4 linked regions of the Schizosaccharomyces pombe genome follow. Changing the gene in region 1 together with any one later gene gives a genetic interaction. Each region holds a gene or a part of one and is shown on either strand. Other genes may lie near its edges.

Region 1 (5,346 bases):
CCTATGCGCTTGGGTTTGGCTCTCAACTTTTCCGTCTTCTATTATGAAATCCTTGACTCTCCAGAAAGTGCATGCCATTTGGCTAAACAAGTATTTGATGAGGCCATTTCAGAGCTCGATAGTCTTTCTGAAGAATCTTACAAAGACTCTACTTTAATCATGCAGCTTCTTCGCGATAACTTGACTTTATGGACTTCTGACGCCGAATACAACCAGTCTGCTAAGGAGGAGGCTCCTGCTGCCGCTGCTGCTTCTGAAAACGAACATCCCGAGCCCAAAGAGTCTACGACTGACACTGTTAAAGCTTGAAACTAAAGCGTTAGCATTTTATCAGTAAACGGATCCTAATGGTCTGATTACTTTTGCATATATGAACTGATACCTATGATTTATCTAATATTCGTAGCCATATAACAAAGTTATCTTCATTATATTCTTCTTGCACTTTATTTCTATCATTTATAAATTTATAACTTTGATTACGTTTCATGAGTAGTTAGTTTGGCTTTGTGGCCTTAAAACCATCAAAGCATACTATTATTATACATTGTACATGCGTTACACTACACCACCCCTTTTTTTAACGTTTAGTTTAGTATGCAGTAGAGTATAGTTCATTTGAGTAACGTTAACATTAAATAATCATGAATTAAGCCCAAATAGATATAGCAACTCTTCTTTGTCAAGTCTCGACAGAGGATTGTTTTCGTTTGAATCCAAAGCTTCTTTAACCAATTGACGCTTCTTACGTTGAACACTGACGATACGCTCTTCAATCGTATCTTTAGTAATAAACCTATACACGGTGACAGGCTTCTGCTGTCCAAGCCGATGAACACGATCTATTGCTTGATCCTCTATGCTCGGATTATAAAATGGTTCCTGTAGAATAACGTGATTTGCAATCGTCAAATTCAAACCCACGCTGCCGGCTTTCAATGAAACCAGCATGACTAAAACATCTTTATCGTTATTAAAAGAATGTAGGGACTTTTGCCTCTGGTTCGCAGACATAGTACCATCATAACGAACATGTCGTATATTTTCTAATTTTAGCATGTGCGATACGAGGCATAAATACTGGGAGAACTGAGAATAGACCAGAATTTTTTCGTTTCTCTTGGAGCCAATTATATCCAAAATTGTTTGTCTTGCTTGATTCAATTTCGAGGAGCTTTTCCATTCGCTCGCCCGCTTGCCAAATTTTTTGGTAAACATCTGGTCAATACGATTTTCCCACCTTAATTTAATGCTTTCTTGTTCTGAAAAAGATTGATTCATATCTAACTCTAATTGCTTTAAAGAGTTTAAAGGACCATGGATTGCTTGAAGGATAGTTGCATCAACTAATGAATCTTGAACTATATTACCTCTGCACATTGGGCACTTTGCTATGATCGTAGAAGTGCTTGATGATCCATACTTCTGGCCGACTAGCATGCTCATACACTCTTGACATGTAAAGTGCCCGCAAGGGATAATAAAAACGGGAGCCAAACAAGGATCCAAACAAACACTACAGTTGAAATCCTGTAGTGTAGCAATTCTTTCTATGGTCAAGGGATCCAAAGACTTGCAAGCATTTCTGACGTTTTCGGAATCTCTAATTCTAAAGCTGTTATCCAAGCTAGAACTCTTAACAAGCCATGGGTGACAACAAAATTGGCGAAGACGGAGTAAAGATACTAATAAGAACCCGTAGCGCGAAAGATCGTGATCATTGTTAAAATAGTTATCAACGAGCGATTGAGCACTAGACATTTGCTCATTGTAGAGCGCGCGTTCTTCAGGAAGAAGGTTCACGGAGACGGTACGGATGGTTTTTGGAGGAAGGTTGACAATAGGCAAATTATTAACCCTCGTCTCTTTAGTTCTACGAAAAACCGTAGAAGCCAAAAGGATGCGAAGACGTTTAAGAGCAGCTTCAACGATATCTGCACGATAACTTTTTAGCGGTCTGGAAATATCCTTAGCAAAAAGGCTCCACACGCAATATGGTTTTATTCTGAGGAACTTTAAGAGGCTGTAAAACTCATCAATATGGTTTTGTATGGGGGTTCCGCTTAGGCACCATCTATATTTGGCATCCAGTTTGACGCAGCATTTAGCGGCAAGAGTGTCGCGGTTACGAATGGTATGTGCCTCATCTAGAACAATGCGATACCAGGAAGTCTCTAGCAATGAACAGGCTGGCGGCGGAGTTGCCGTAGCGGGATTGTTATTATTAAACGCATCGTTTTGCTTCATTTCATAAGCAAGCATTGAATACGTAGTCAAGACAACATCATATTGAGAAAGTTCGTAAGAGTCCAAGTTTTTCTTAGTGGACCCATGATGGATGTAAACGGATAATTTTTTACTGGGGTGCACTTTAGTAGACAATTCTTCAGCCCACTGATGTAAGAGGGCGACAGAAACCACAATCAGGTTTGTCTTACGAAGAGGGTCTTGGGATTTTTGAGTAAGAAGTAAAGCAATTGTTTGAATGGTTTTTCCAAGGCCCATGTCGTCGGCCATAACCCCACCACACTTGGAGCTTTGCTCCATGGATTCCATCCAAGCATGGCCCTCGACTTGATGTGGTAAAAGAGAAACCAATAAACCGGCGGATTGTACTTGCTCATTTTTCAACTGCAGGTCGATCGTGTCGAACGGACTGGGAGTATTATGCTGAAGTAATTGATGCAATTCTTTTGTGACATGTTCTGGTTGCACCTTACGCTCATAAGGGCAAAAAGAGTTGGTACTAATAGTCCCGGTAGGTAGGGATGAAGATGATGGAGGTGGAAGAGGAGTAGGAAGACGACTCAATTGTTTAGCGGTAATGAAGGAGGAAGGAGGAGTCAAATGTTCGGGATTATCAAGATCAATAGGGTGGTCACTCGAGCCTAATACGGAAGGGATGTCGTTAGAGACGGAAGAAGTGGTATGTGGAATAGAAGAAATTGATGGAGTAGACGAAGAAGATGGAATAGAAGGAAGAGATGATGAGTTTGAGGGAGTAGAAGTTAAGCGCGTAGGGGGACGAAAGGGAAAGTTTTTAAAAGACCAAAGACGTTTTTGCCGCCATCGCTTGCGAGTGGAAAGGGAAGAAGAAGTAGGATTTTTGGAAGGAGGATGATCAAAGGGAGGAAGAGAATAGGAAGAGGATTGTGAATTTTGAAGGGACCTAGCAAATTGTTCGTCTAGTTCAACTTGGTTTTGGGAAGAAGATGAGGAGGGGGCAGAAGAGGGGGAAGAAGAATTCCATTCATCTTGAAGACGACGGGCCAATTCCTCGTCATTTTGAAGTTGCTGAAAGGTGGATTGAGGAGGATATGCAGACAATGAATCCATGATGATTAAGAGCTAGGCTATAAAAGAGACATGATTAGAAGGAAGAGACCAGGAAGAATTATTTTAAAATCGAATTGAGGGGGAAAATGGAATATATAGAAAGTGTATGAAAAGTATGCAATGCCACTCGAAAAAAAAGTGGTAGAAAAATTAATTGTAAATTAAAAAAAAAAAAAAAAAAAAAAAAAGGAAACAAAATGAAACACTGAAATAATAATGGAGACCTATTTGGTTTAAGAAAGTGTGATGGATAAATGTAAAACAAGCATTTATGGAAAGCACTATGTACAAATAAAAAAAAAACACTAGTGAGAAGTGGATGAAATGGGAAAACACTTGCTCTTTAAGTATGACCTCGTTAACGTTTGTTGAAAAAAGATAAGGAAAATGAACGAATTAGAACGAGGCAATTGATGAAATGCGCAGATGAGCGGTGAGATGCAATATGGCGGAATCAAACAAGTTGATATGTAGTAAAAGTTTAACGATTCAAAATCTCGAGAATGATAAAGATAATAGGAACTGAGTATGCTAGAGATGAATTAAAGAAGGATAACGAGAGTATTGGAATGTGCGATAAAACAAAAATGAATGGAGGAGTAGGAGGAACTAGGTAAATCAAAAAGGAAAATGATGGTAGGATGTAAAGAAGAAAACCGTTTCAAAAAACGAATCGCAAAACTATTGAAAAGAATATCTAACCAAAAATTAAAATAAAATAAAATAAAATAAAAAGCAAAAAAAATAAATAGAAAAAAATTTTTGTTTTGTTCTGGTCAACCGATGATATGAATTAAGAGACACATTTGATAAGATGGAATGGATGCTGAAACGGGTTTCCAGTAAAAAGGATGGGATGCACCTTCGAGAAGCATACGTGGTCGTCGACGAGAAGGAAAAGAACGAAAAGTGTGAAGAATTTGAAACAAGGCAAAAATTAGATAGAAGAGATGAAAAGAAAAGCAAATTTAGACAAAGGAATTGAGTAGCCGATCTTTAATTGCGAAAGAGCGATTACAGCTGCAAAAGTTGGAAAAGTAGGGCCAAAAGAGACACGTGAAAGTAAAACAGAGAAAAAGAAGAAAGGACAAGAAGGAGCGGTGGCGCGCCTCCCGAAAAAAAATAAATAAAAAAAATAAAAAAATTTAGTGAAAGAGAGATTTGAATGAATGATTCTGCTAACGAATATTTTGATGAATAAAATTTAAGGAATGAGGCGGGTTTATGATTTTGAAACGAGAGTTTTCTTGCATGCACTTTTTCGAATTTGCTTCCAGTGTGCTTGCATGTGTTTGTTTTGCGCAACACATGTGTTTGATTGTGTGATGCGACTAGAACTGTAAGCTCTGGAGATGTGTTGAAGATCTTGCTTTTCAAAAAATTCCAACTCGCACCACTCTTCTCACTATCGCCGAAGATTGACAATGGCAGGATTAGCGTAGCATAGCGAGCTGAAAATCACAAGGCAAAAAAGGTGAAAGACGAGGACTAGTCGGTACGGAGTAAACTTAATCCGACCGAGCACAGGGGAGGCAAAATAGGAGCCGAGAGGAACACGAGGAACAAAACAAAAAAAAAAAAAAATTTCAGTTGCGAATAGGAAAAACACAAAATAAATAAAGAATTAAATTAAATTATTAGGAAATTTTTTTATGAATTGCAAAAACATCACGAGTTAAAAAAAAAAGGAAAGAAAGAGAGAATTGATAAAAAAAAAATAAAAAATTAAATAAAAAATAAATTAGAAATTAGTAACTCAATTACCGATCAAAAACATTAAAAGTAAAAAAGAATTGTTCAAGTCAATGATCGATCAAAGGAAAGAAGGATTCGAGTCGTTTTGAAAAGAAGAACATGGCAAGCGCTGCCGAGGTATGGAAGAAAAGGGCAAAGGTATCGTGTTGTGTGGAATATAATATTATAGAGTTGATGAACCGATAGGTCGGGAGGAATTTGGGTAGAGTAGCAATGTAATATAATTTTATCGAGTGACTGGCGAGTGGCATCCAG
Region 2 (3,989 bases), on another chromosome or scaffold:
AAATATTCAAAAGAAGTGAAATAGCTACGTGGGTTAATCAATAGTGTCTACGTCCAATTATTATCTGAGGTATACACATGCAACAATCACGGCATTTACATCTCAGTAAATTAAAATAAAGAAAAATAATATCATTAAATTAAGTCAAAAGGTTTAAAGGTGATATCCTATGAATTCGGGAAATTGCCAACTATATCTTAGATAGTCACATTTCTACCAAATTGACGTAGAGCTTAATTAAATATTCCAGATGTTGCTAAAGTATTCTCATATTGTCAACTGCGAAGTTCAACATCTTTCGATTTGCAGAACTGATTCAATCCAGTGGCTAACTCATGGTCGTATGTACGATCCGTTCTGTCTATTTTGATTTAATGTGACCAAAAGTTAAACTTCATCTCGTGTATAGTTAAAAGATATGATAGTATACATACTAAAAATGAGAATTCTGGCAAACCAGATTTAAATCAATAACATGTTACTCTTGCTTGCGACAATATAAGTAAATGTGGGCAAGAAAGATGAAGAAGTATTAGAAACAAGTTGCGGCTAAATTTTGAGAAAGGATTGATAGCGGAAAGGCTACTAATAGTAATGATATGAGCTATTATTATCAGTAACGATAAAGCCGTTTATGGTGGCGCGCGTAAGAGAACGACAAAATTTGAAGCCTAGGTAGTTTCATCAAAACCATTAAAGGAAATAAATATGAAAAAAGCTAGCAAGAGAGGCGATATTATATTTTCGCATTCACAACTTTACTATTGACGACTACGAATACCGAGGGATAGCGTTATTATCTCTCCACAAGTAATCGGCTATTTTTTGATTGGTTTAAATAAAAGTAAATCCTGATTATATTTGACATAATCTGCATCAAATAGAACTCTAGATTTTCCTTTCCGAATATGGTGGCCAATTAACGGTACGACTGTGATGTAAATATTACACAGTGGAGCGACACGTGAATGTAGTCCCCTTCGGTTAGCTCCTTAAAATGGAGGCCTTAAAGGATAATACTGCTTGACTTTTTTAGCATAGTGCCTTTGTTAATTGCAACAAATCCCTTCAAACAAAAAAAAAATAAATTTTTATAAAGAAAAACTTTTTATTTCTATACGGCAAGTTCATCTCATAAAGTAAACAAATCATTTCCCGATTGGCTACCCTAGCCCTTCGTTTGTTTGTTTTGCAGTGACGTCAAAATTCATCTCACCCGATCAACATATATAAACATTGCGACACAAACCAAAAAGTTACCGACTGCAGCATCATATTTCTCAGCAGAAACGTATTCTTATAGTAATCCAAGTCCAAAATTAAGGAATTGGTATCTTAAACCACCTTAGTACATAGTTCTCTATTGTTTATAAGCCTCTTTACTTGCCAGGGACGCAGTAAGACATTGCTTCCTTCACCACCTTCATTATCCTTTACCTTCTTTCTCTGTCCACCTTATATATATATACTTATTTTCCCAGGAATCCTCACTTTTGCCATTAATCCATTCCATCCTTCTGTAGAACGACGAATTGTCATCCCTTCCTTTATCGTTCGTTCATTTCCTAAAACCGGGACACTACTGCATGCTTAAAACAGAGGAAAAATAAAGAGAGAACACATTTATATAATTGAAAGAAACTTTTCCATTGATAGCTCCTAAGTTTCAAATCACCAACTTGTCGGTTTATACATTCTTCATTTTCTTTTATTTACTTTTTTGAAGAAGTTCACAGGGATCACTATTCAGAAATTTTATACAAAGATATTGCATCCTTATTCATCAATCCAAATTTGCGTCACTTGATCGACCACAATTTGCTTCATCTTCCCTTCCCAATTTGTTTCGCCAGCACCTGAATAACATAGCCTCTTTTTAAGATTTAACCTTCTTCAAGAAATCACTACATATTCGCACTACTAACAAAAAAGAAACTTTCGCTTTTTATTTAGTCCGTTCTTGTATCAACTATCTTCATCGGCTTTACCGTCGAAACCATTTCAACCGCACTCAATAGAAAATTAACTTGCTCATCATCAATCTTCCATCATGGATTTCGCAAATGTGTATCTCGGGTTAGATACACTAGGTAATGAAGGATATGGTGCTAGCGTCAGTAATGGCACTCACCATGATTTTCATTTTAACTTCAATACATTCCGCGATGGTGGTAACCATGAAGTTGGAGAAAAACGCGCTGAATCTAGCGATATCGGAGTATATGAATGTAGAGGTCCAGTCCAGGGACCTAAAGATCAAACATCCTTTCCCTCGAATTCACATAATAACTACGCTTCAATAGTAGGTGATGCTAGCATTGGACATTACCTCAAAGGACCCGAGCGTACTTCAGAGGTATCATTACCTCAAACGGTAAACCTTTCGGAGATTTCTAACAATAATGACAAAGGCCAGCCTACAAATACTCCTCCTGTACGCTCAACAATTGTTGCACCTTCATTATACTCTGAAGGTAGTACTTTGAATCATTATAATAATGGATCTCATCAAGTGCTTCATCCACAATTCCAAAATGGAACCAACGCCCCATACGTAGTGCAGTCAAATCTTATGCAAAACAATGTTAATCTAACAGGAGCGGAACAAGAAAAAGGTTTGGACCTATATAAGAATTCCGCTACTGCGAATAACGATGAGATTTTCTATAATCTTGAATCCTTACGTAGAGAAGGATACTTAAACTCCAACAAGAAGCAGTCTCAATCTCCAAATGGAGACTACAACAGCAGCGATGAGTCCTGTTCCAATAAAACCGTCGCCTCCAGTCAACGACGGGGTACACCTGGCAGTAACAATGTTCATACCGCTAGTAACAATGAAACTCCTGATATGAAGAGGAGGCGGTTTTTAGAGAGAAATCGAATAGCCGCATCGAAATGCCGCCAAAAGAAAAAGCTTTGGACACAGAATCTCGAAAAAACAGCACATATCGCATGTGAGCAGTCGAAAGCTCTAAGGATTTTAGTCAGCCAACTACGTGAAGAAGTAATTTGTTTGAAGAATCAACTATTAGCTCATCAAGATTGCAATTGCGAAGGAATTCGACAATATCTTTCTTCAGAGGCTCAAGGAATTATGTCCTTTCAGAAACATTGAGCAAATGACACCCCATTGAATCAAGTTTCGTAACATTTTTTTATTATACTGTATATGCATTTCTGAGAGCCTGGATAGAATCTTGCAATAGGAGATGCTTAAAAGACGGCCAGTGCTGCTCTACTGCTTGTCTATAGTAATTGTACTTTAACTCTGGCATATTTTATTTTTCTTTTTTCACAATACTATTATTTTCTTCGCGTCACTGTGTTCATGGGATTTGCAATCTCACTCCAAACTCGTTTCATTCAATTGCTTGGGTTTTTCATTCATGTTTCTTCATTAAAAGTGTTTATGTTTCGAAGATCCTTTACGCACGTTTCATTTCCAGATTAATAATTACTGTAATGATATATCTTCCCTATATGTATTTTTTTAATAGGTTACGATTGCTTTACGAACTTGACCTAGATGAGCCAAATCTGTAATCACTGCCATATAATCTGTACCTCGTTCACAGACATGTCATTTTATCTTCAGTACGACACCACAGTTACATATATTGTTTGCTTTGGAATAAAAAAAAAATTAAGTAATAGAATAACACTTTCTGAAGTAAATGGTAGAAAAGATAACAGTATTCGTAGAGCAGCTATAATTATATGCATTTTTGCGTTTTGCAGCAAAAGATCACTATACTGCATAAGGAATTTTTATACAAACCATGTGTCTTTATTTAGTACATTAAGACTATATCCCGTTTCTACTCCTTCAGAAAGTGCTTAAGCCCTCTCTTAGCAAAGAAACGAGTGTATTATTAAAAGGAATGGCACCCTCAGAGAAAGACATTGAAGAGGTATCAGTCCCTGGAGTTTTAGCACCGCGCGACGATGTGAGGGTTTTAAAGACACGAATTGCCAAATTATTAGGA
Region 3 (4,420 bases), on another chromosome or scaffold:
CAGCTCAACAACAGCACCGACGCTGTCCCCAAGAAGCTTGATGCCTCCAAGGCTTCCAGCCTCAATTTGGAGAAGGTTTCCTACCTTACTGATGAGCCCAAGTTCCGTTTCGACTTTAACAACGACGAAATGGCTGTAGTCAAGTTGTCCACTGGTATCGCTGCCTTTGCCAAGGATGCTGATACTCTTCGTACCATCTTGAAGGCTAAGCTTGAGGCCTAAATATTTTAGCTGCAACCAGTTAGGTATACCGATTTCTTTCATTTTGTTAGGAGTTTTTTAGCTTACTTTTTTTTACCCTTTTTACTGCTAGCATTCCGTATGTTGAGGTTTCCAGATTATGATTTTAAGGATGTTATGGCAGTCTTTTTTAACAAAACACAAAAAATAAATCGTACTTGCGAGCTATAAGTGTGACTAAGCCTTTAGGTTTGACGATTGTTATATAAATGAATATATATATTTTGTATATATGTATTGCGTATGTGGATGGACATATTTACTTGTATTTTGGAATAAAATATATGATGGATCTCAACTGCAAATGGTAGAATGTGGAATTAATTATTAGCAAACACATTTCAAAACTATTTAAGTATGTAATTGGAAGAGCGTAAAAATTTCGTTAATATTAATTAGTATATTACTTCCGTAACATAAGAAATTCACTTTGAAAAGAAGGATCCCATAAAATTGGGATGAAGATTGAATAGAAAATAAAAATATCGTAAAGATAGAAGAAAAAGAAAATTATATCCTGCTGTGAAATAAGTTATATAATGAGAGGAGTGATTGTTTAAACTAAAATAGTTTGTACGTCCAGCATCAACTTACGGTCTTCAGGAGGCCATTCCAAGCGTTTCCAAGTACGAACTGCGCGCTCAACCGGGTCCAACTCAAAAACCCTTGCACGACGAACGTAGCCACCATGTCCTCCATATCCGCCAAACCCAGCACCTCCAGCAAAGCAAAAGTATGTGTTATAATCTGGATGGATTCCACAGAAATCATTTACATGGTCATGTCCTGCAATAGCAAGAGGAATACGTAAACTTTTCAAAGCTTTCGCAGTATTTGGATCACAAATGGAATAAGAACAGGGCTCTCGAAATGCACCAACAAGGTCTTCAGTCTCGCAAAACTCCTTCAGAGGGATATGCAATACAGCCATTTGAATGGGCTCGTACTTGAAATCCGCAACTTTACTAGAAAGCCACTCCAGTTGATCCTCGGTAATAGCATCGTATCCAGGGCATAATCTTCGATTTGAAGTATCTCCCTTTGTATCTAAAACGTAAATGGCAAACTTTCGGGGACTATGTAAAACAAAGTTACCAACACCAGAGACATTTCCAATCAAACCCATACTACCAGGAATCTGACTCAAAATTTTGGCAAGCTCTTCCCTCGATAAATCTCCCAAATCATCGTGATTTCCGAAATTTACAGCAAATGGGACGTTGTAATCAACAAAAGGGGACACCGCTTTCATCAAAGAGCTTCTAGCGTCGCGTGACGTGTCGCCGTTAATTAAGTCCCCAGTCAAAAGGACAAAGTCCGGTTCCTCTAACTGTAATAATTCATTCACGAAAGCAGTAGTTTTTGCATCGGCCATACAATCCTCTGCAGTCTCATACGGATAAGGATCGCGACACGGTCTGTCAGAATTTGAATAGTGCAAATCAGAAAGCTGAAGAATCTTAATTGTCTTTTTTTCTTCGTCATCATAAGTAAGGGTTACGGATGAAAGCTCCTTTCTCTTAAGCGCTTCAATAGATGGCGTCGGAGGAGTTTCACAAGGTCTTTGCGTCAATAGGACCGGCTGTCCTAAATAAATAAAGTCATTTAGAACAGCAGACCAACCCTCTCGTAATTCAACAACATCCTCACCCAACAATGTATTAAATTCGCAAATATCACCATCCGTTCCATAACGAATTTGAATACCGTGCTTGTTACGCTTTTCCAGCTGTCGATCAACATATACCTGTTCAACTAAGACAGTCTCCCCAGGAATATACAGTGCTGGTCGTTTCACGTAAAGGTAGGCACGCTTCCAAGGAATTCGGGAACGGTACAGATTCCGACTAGTACGGGCCCATTTCCAAAATTCCAAAACGGGACGACAAAAGGGAGAAAAGGAAAAGCACTCGACCAGCCTTATATCTTCGATTGGAGTGTTCAGTGAGAAGGGTCCCGACTTTGAGTCAGTGATTTCAATGGTGTTGAGCGAATAATCAACAGTCAATAATGCTATGAAAGCCGCAACTATGAAGATTGCCCTTTTACGAAGGAAATGAATAATGTTTCTCTTTGGTAGCATCATTTTGCTTAGTCTTTGAACACGAGATTAGTAATTGTAGGAATGTATTTTTAACCGAAAAACGTCCCGCGAGAACTTTTTCTTTTACGGATCAAATATTTGACAAAGAAAAGCAATATTTATATAACAAATGTGCTTCAAATTAAAAGTTTTTATGAAAAACCTGTAGAATTGACTGAATTCATGAAAGCAAAAGGATTATGTGGATATTACGGTAATGTTTACATGGTAGAAGAAGGCTTTTCAAATTAAGATTCGAATGCGGAGCACAAGAACGAATCCGTTATCTATGCCTAGCGTAGTGCAGAATACTCACTTAAGAATCGCTTTCAAGAAACTTGCTTATCATAATACTTGAAGTTGGAAAGAGCTCGGTATGTGAAGAGATGAGCTTAACGTAGTTTAGCAGGTTCTCAGTTATTCTGAATGTCTATTAAAATTCAGCATTATAGCGACTTTTCTTGTGAGTGAAAACAAACGTTAAAGCTAGATGGCATTTCGGAAGAAGAAAATTGCATGGATAAGCTCTCAGATACTCATTGACATTAATATTTTCATCTCACTTATTTTTTAATTTCTAGCGGTGAGTGTTTATATGAGAGGTACGGCAGCTCTCAAAATCTTAACAACCATTTTGGATTATATTTTAAGCTCTAACTTTTTGTTAAGTATTATTTTCTGAGAAATTCTGCTTCATACTGTAGTGGTACGAGAAAACTCGCAAATGAAAACGAATATTTCAAGGTACTATAAATCTCGCTTAATTCAAGCTTAATTTGGCCGACATTTCACATGTTGTGGCCCATGAAACATGTGTCAATAGTTGTATAACTGTGTAAGGGTACTATTGCGTTAGTTTCTTACCTGATCTGAAAAGTTTTAAGCTGCCAGCAAGTCGATATATATAGAGGGTTTTGCGGATCTTGTTTTTTTCCGGCATAATTATTGTGCCGAACCACTAAGCCGAACCAAAGAGTAATTATCATAACGCAAACTCTTTCAAAATAAAGAACCCATTTATTCTTCAACTCAAAGTTCAAGCAGAATACCTTGAAGCTTGATAATTAACAAATTTCCAAGCTGAGACTCATTCTTCGTTTAACTAATCTCACATGATGTTTTCCTCATTATTTTGGTTTTGCATATTTTTTTGAAAACTCATTAAGTGTAAGCTACGCAGTTTGGTATCTGATTTAAGGATACGTAGAACTGCGGTGAGTTTTCCTTGTGATCTATTATATTACGATACACAGGTTGTATAAGTAGCAACTGAGTATAGGTATTGTATTAACTGGGTTATAATGTTACCTATCACTAATATAGCTCATAACTGAACTGAGGAACGAGGTTCAGCAGTAGCTCTATTTATAGTATTCAGATAATATTGATCTTAATAGATTATCATTAAGATCAATCTCCATATCGTATCATACATGGTACGATATATAATTAGAACATGTGACATATAGTGATACTCAACGTAGTGTATTATAGCGTAGTGTAGTATTGCTGACATTGCCCTCCCCAAGATTTTCTATGTAAATCTGAGGATAAGTCATATGTTCTCAGATATTTAGATTATTGTTTTTAATATAATCATTGACAATTGCTTTGTCCGCTTGTAGCGCTGTAGCTAATGTAGTCCATCCTGACATAATAGTACTCGGATTTAGATTCGAAATGTACTTGACATTTAAGTAGAGTACTTGTTCTCTGTTTTTATGTTCTAGGATATGAAGAATTGTTCCAATATCAGACTCATCAATGGTAGCGTAATTGAGTTCTGAATTATGTCGATACTTTTCTAGGTGAGAAACATGAAAAGTAGATGAAAACATGTGCTTGATTGAATCTGGAAGATCCAATTCATAGTTGTTTGGACCCGACTTCTGTAACACATAGAACGGTCCTGCAAAACTAGGTGCTAATTTATTGGATTTATGAAGAAAACCTGTTTTCGTTCTTTTGACCATAACTAGGTCTCCAGGTTGAAATTCTTCAATTTCTTGTATTTTCATATCGAAATACTTTTTCATCTTTATGTTGTTTGTATTCAAGTGTTCTTTAACTGTTTGAAATACTTGGATCGTTTCCTGA
Region 4 (3,772 bases), on another chromosome or scaffold:
CCATTCTGGCGTGGTAAATCAAAAGGTTATAGATTCAATAAAACAACAACCTGACCACTATGCTGATGCGTATATATTTAATCGTCATTTTGTTATAGCCAAAGGAGATCAACTAGGATTGCCTTTTCACTTGAAAGGTGTCCAGGTTGGTGATACGATACGACTTGATAAAATCGCTTCCTTCGGCTCAAGAGATTTTACTCTCTTTGGTAACCCGTATGTAGACCCTTCATTGTTTACGATTGAAGCGGTTGTATTATCATTCCCTAAAAGCGCATTAAGTGTTCGAGTAAAACACAAGCGTCGTCATCGTCATGATCGTGTAATGAAACATAAACAAACGTATACTATTTTAAGGTAAGTGTGCAGCAATTCTATCATGTTACTAATCATCCAGGGTTACGGAACTCAAACTGAACTAATTCCCTTTCTTCTTTTTATCTAGTCTTCTACTTCACCCATGTATGCTGCTGACAACTAAAACATTTTGTAAATTAATATAATAATTTTGTGTATTAAGGGAAATAGTGACAAGTAATACTGAACGTTGTTCAATAAAATAATAAAAAAAATTTCAGAGAGGATCAAGAAATAATAAAACTCGTAGGAGGAGTACAAATCTAATTTAAGCAATTACAAATCAAGGATTAAGTAGGTAATTGCTGCGCAAAAATAATTCTTGCTCATTTAAAAATAAAGAGGAATAACAAAAACAACAAAAACAACAAAAACACAAAAGAGAAAAAATGCTTTTAAACTTTGAAACATACCCTGTACTTAAACCGCTGCAGTCTCGTACGTATTAGCGCCTAATACAGCAAGTTCCAACGTCCAAACTCTTCTTACCCAAGTTGCAAACTCGATCCCATTGTAGGTGATACTGGTAGAAGAATCCCACCAACACTTCCGAGCTGGTTTCTGCCAAAAGAGGAGCAACTTGTGATAAACAGGAAAATATTCAGGATCAGAGACAGGGCCCTGATCTGCACTAAAATCTAGGTTGGTCAAAGTGACTGAAGTAATACAAGCGCGATGTGGTTCTTGTATTCGCCGTTTCCATTCGTCATCTTCGTGAAATCCGCTGTAGCAAAGCATGCGTACAAGGTTCTTTTCAGCGGAACCTTCTGAGGTGGAGTTTTCGAGATGTAAACAATCAAAGATCTTCTTTTGTTGCAGCAATCGTTGGGCTACACGTTGTTTTAGTTTAAGCAAATCGTTCGGACTAACTTCAATGGCAATATTGGTGGTTGGTGAAATGGGTGGGAGGATAAAAAACTCAATGTCTTCTTTTAACAGAATTATACCACATTTTCCAGGAAAAGAAGGTGGAGGTGGTGATAATGCAATTTCATCATTAGCGGTACGATTTTCGGCCATTTGAAAATAATTTAATATGTACTGAAGTAATGAAGGATCAAAGTCAGCTGTTTGAAATATTAATGGCCTTTGAGTCAGTTGGCATTCTTGAATCTCATAATCCAACAACAGGCCTCTAGGAAATAAACACATCAAGATGGATTCCGGGAGGCCTAAAAGCTGATCTCTACTCAATTCAAATACTGTGTCACGATCGCATAATTGAATAATAATAGGATCTCCTTCATAATTGAAATCGGGATTGGCTGCTACAGTAGGTATTTCCTGAGCCTGAGTTATCACAGACATGAAGGCACAAAAATTCGAGTGTTTAAAAGAGAAGTTTCAATAAAATAAATTATTTTTTAATCAAGGGTAATGATAAATAAAGATACAATCATATATGCGAATGCAACGTACTTATAGGTACTATGAAAGCGGTGCCTTTGATATCGATGCCTACGCAACCTGCACAGCACAACGTTATATGACCATACATACTCCACTATATAACGCATTTTTCTTAGTGTATAATAAAGTTCGTTAAATCATTAAGATTACTGTAGAACAGGAGTAGCACCAACTTTGGGAGGTAAAACCAAAGGTTGATTGCGATGCCAAAAATTTAAAAGTAGAGAGGAAATCTTAGCGGGAACATCTTCATGAACAAAATGACCAGTTTCAGGAAGAATCTCAAGTTGATATTTTCCTTGCATTTGTCCAATTGTTAACGTTTTATCTAGACGATCGGTACCAGCGACAATAAGCATCCTTCCATATGGTGCTCTTAGGAATTTGTCACTTAAACCCTTAAACCAGTCCATCCAATACGGCGATGTTTTGTAAAGATCGGTTCGCCAAACGAATGTGCCATCTTCCTGCTGAACGAGAAGTGAAGGAACTGTAATACAGGCCGATAATCTGTTTCTAGTAACTAAAGTCTTGATATGCCAAGAAATTGCATCATCAATTGATTTAAAGCTAGTAGGACGATTAGAGAGGTACGTTTTCATAAAACCCAATGCTTCCATCGCAGTCCCTTCAACCACATCAATGACAACAAGTCCAGAAGTATTGGGAATAGTTTTTTGAAAAGCACAGTAAGCACAAATGGCACCTCCTAAGCTATGTCCGACCAAAATGATTTTTTCATCAAGCTCAAACATACGTTGAACATAGGAGACTGCGTGAGTAAAGTCCTTAGATAATGTTTCCAAGCTCATATCTGATTCGGGTTCTAACGTTGTTTCTCCATGAGCTCGAAGGTCCAACGCTAAAAAACCAACCTTATTATCTGAATTACTCAAGAGCTCTTGTGTAACCGGTGCAAATGACATGGCACTTGAGCCAGCACCGTGTTGCAAAACAAGTAAGCAACCATCTGGTTGTGGAAGTGTTAAGTACCCATTGATAGTCCCATTCAAAGCCCCACTTTCACCAGGAATTGTTAACTTTTCATCAAAGTAATTTCGCCAATCGCTTAAACTCTCTTCATTATTTAACATTAGTTCCTTGGTTTCGGATGATTGCTCAGATTCATTCTCATAGAGTGTTTGACTGAGTTCTTCTTTACGAAATGCCATTATAAAGTATTATAATATCTTTTTTAGCTTACACGCAGCACTATAAATAGTTCACACGAATTCCTCGTTGGTTTTATGAAGATAGAATATACAATCCCAGAAGCAGAAACGGACCTGATTGAAAAAAAAAAAAATTAATTCAATGTAATTCTGAAATCGATAAATTTTAAAACAAACAATGTGTATTCCCCAGGTAGCTAAGTTGAGTAAATAATATGCAGTGGAAGTTTCCTGTACTTACTGCGGATTCCTCAATGCTCAAATGATTTACACGCCTTCCATCGCCTACGTAAAAAAATTAACGACGTAACATTTAAATATGTTACCTCGCTTTACACCAACGCTATTTTTCCTTACAGACAAATGTGACTAAAATACAATGGTAAAAGTAAGATTGAAAATCATAATTAATTTATACTTTTTATGCTAGTATGAGACAAAAATATGAGTAGATGAATGTATTATCTACTTTTGGCAATAAGCTGGTTTTATTTGAGACCTGTCATAGAAGATGATTGGGTAGATTTCTCTTGCAACTGTTTAATTAGTAGTAATCGTCCAGCTGGTAGAGCTACCGACATTGGAGTAAAGCTAGCAAACAGCTTTGGATTAACAAAAGGAAGTTCAAAAGGTGTTATTCTAGAAATATCTCTGTGGTCGTGGATACTGGTCTCTATTTTTGCGGTAGAATCATTATTGGCAGAAAAATCCTCCTCAGTAGTCAGTTGAGTTTCATCTTGATTTCTTTTCTTTAACAAGATTGACTTTTTGTTTCTTAAAACTGACGCTTTACTTGAAAGATTCTGCTCATTTTTCTCTCTGGATTGGGTAAA

The links.
Region 2: mutations in rrp1 (region 1) and atf21 together harm fitness more than expected from each alone (negative genetic interaction), as found in Schizosaccharomyces pombe (one large-scale study listed by BioGRID).
Region 3: mutations in rrp1 (region 1) and dcr2 together harm fitness more than expected from each alone (negative genetic interaction), as found in Schizosaccharomyces pombe (one large-scale study listed by BioGRID).
Region 4: mutations in rrp1 (region 1) and SPOM_SPBP4H10.16C together harm fitness less than expected from each alone (positive genetic interaction), as found in Schizosaccharomyces pombe (one large-scale study listed by BioGRID).

Annotation. Positions count from the first base shown.
Region 1 is NC_003424.3:3,578,213-3,583,558, reverse strand, and holds rrp1 (ATP-dependent DNA helicase), read right to left. Parts: upstream 3,337-5,346; coding exon 643-3,336; 3' UTR 554-642; downstream 1-553. Other genes in the region: 14-3-3 protein Rad25, read left to right, coding at 1-309.
Region 2 is NC_003423.3:1,720,963-1,724,951, forward strand, and holds atf21 (Atf-CREB family transcription factor Atf21), read left to right. Parts: upstream 1-2,050; coding exon 2,051-3,118; 3' UTR 3,119-3,488; downstream 3,489-3,989. Other genes in the region: mRNA guanylyltransferase Ceg1, read left to right, coding at 3,885-3,989.
Region 3 is NC_003421.2:774,245-778,664, forward strand, and holds dcr2 (phosphoprotein phosphatase), read right to left. Parts: upstream 2,528-4,420; 5' UTR 2,327-2,527; coding exon 797-2,326; 3' UTR 546-796; downstream 1-545. Other genes in the region: tal1 (transaldolase), read left to right, coding at 1-222; Tf2-12 (retrotransposable element/transposon Tf2-type), read right to left, coding at 3,889-4,420.
Region 4 is NC_003423.3:2,905,460-2,909,231, forward strand, and holds SPOM_SPBP4H10.16C (phosphatase activator), read right to left. Parts: upstream 1,781-3,772; 5' UTR 1,666-1,780; coding exon 778-1,665; 3' UTR 503-777; downstream 1-502. Other genes in the region: aco2 (aconitase/ribosomal domain-containing protein), read left to right, coding at 1-357, 398-422; SPOM_SPBP4H10.17C (carboxyl methyl esterase), read right to left, coding at 1,914-2,939; SPOM_SPBP4H10.18C (uncharacterized protein), read right to left, coding at 3,428-3,772.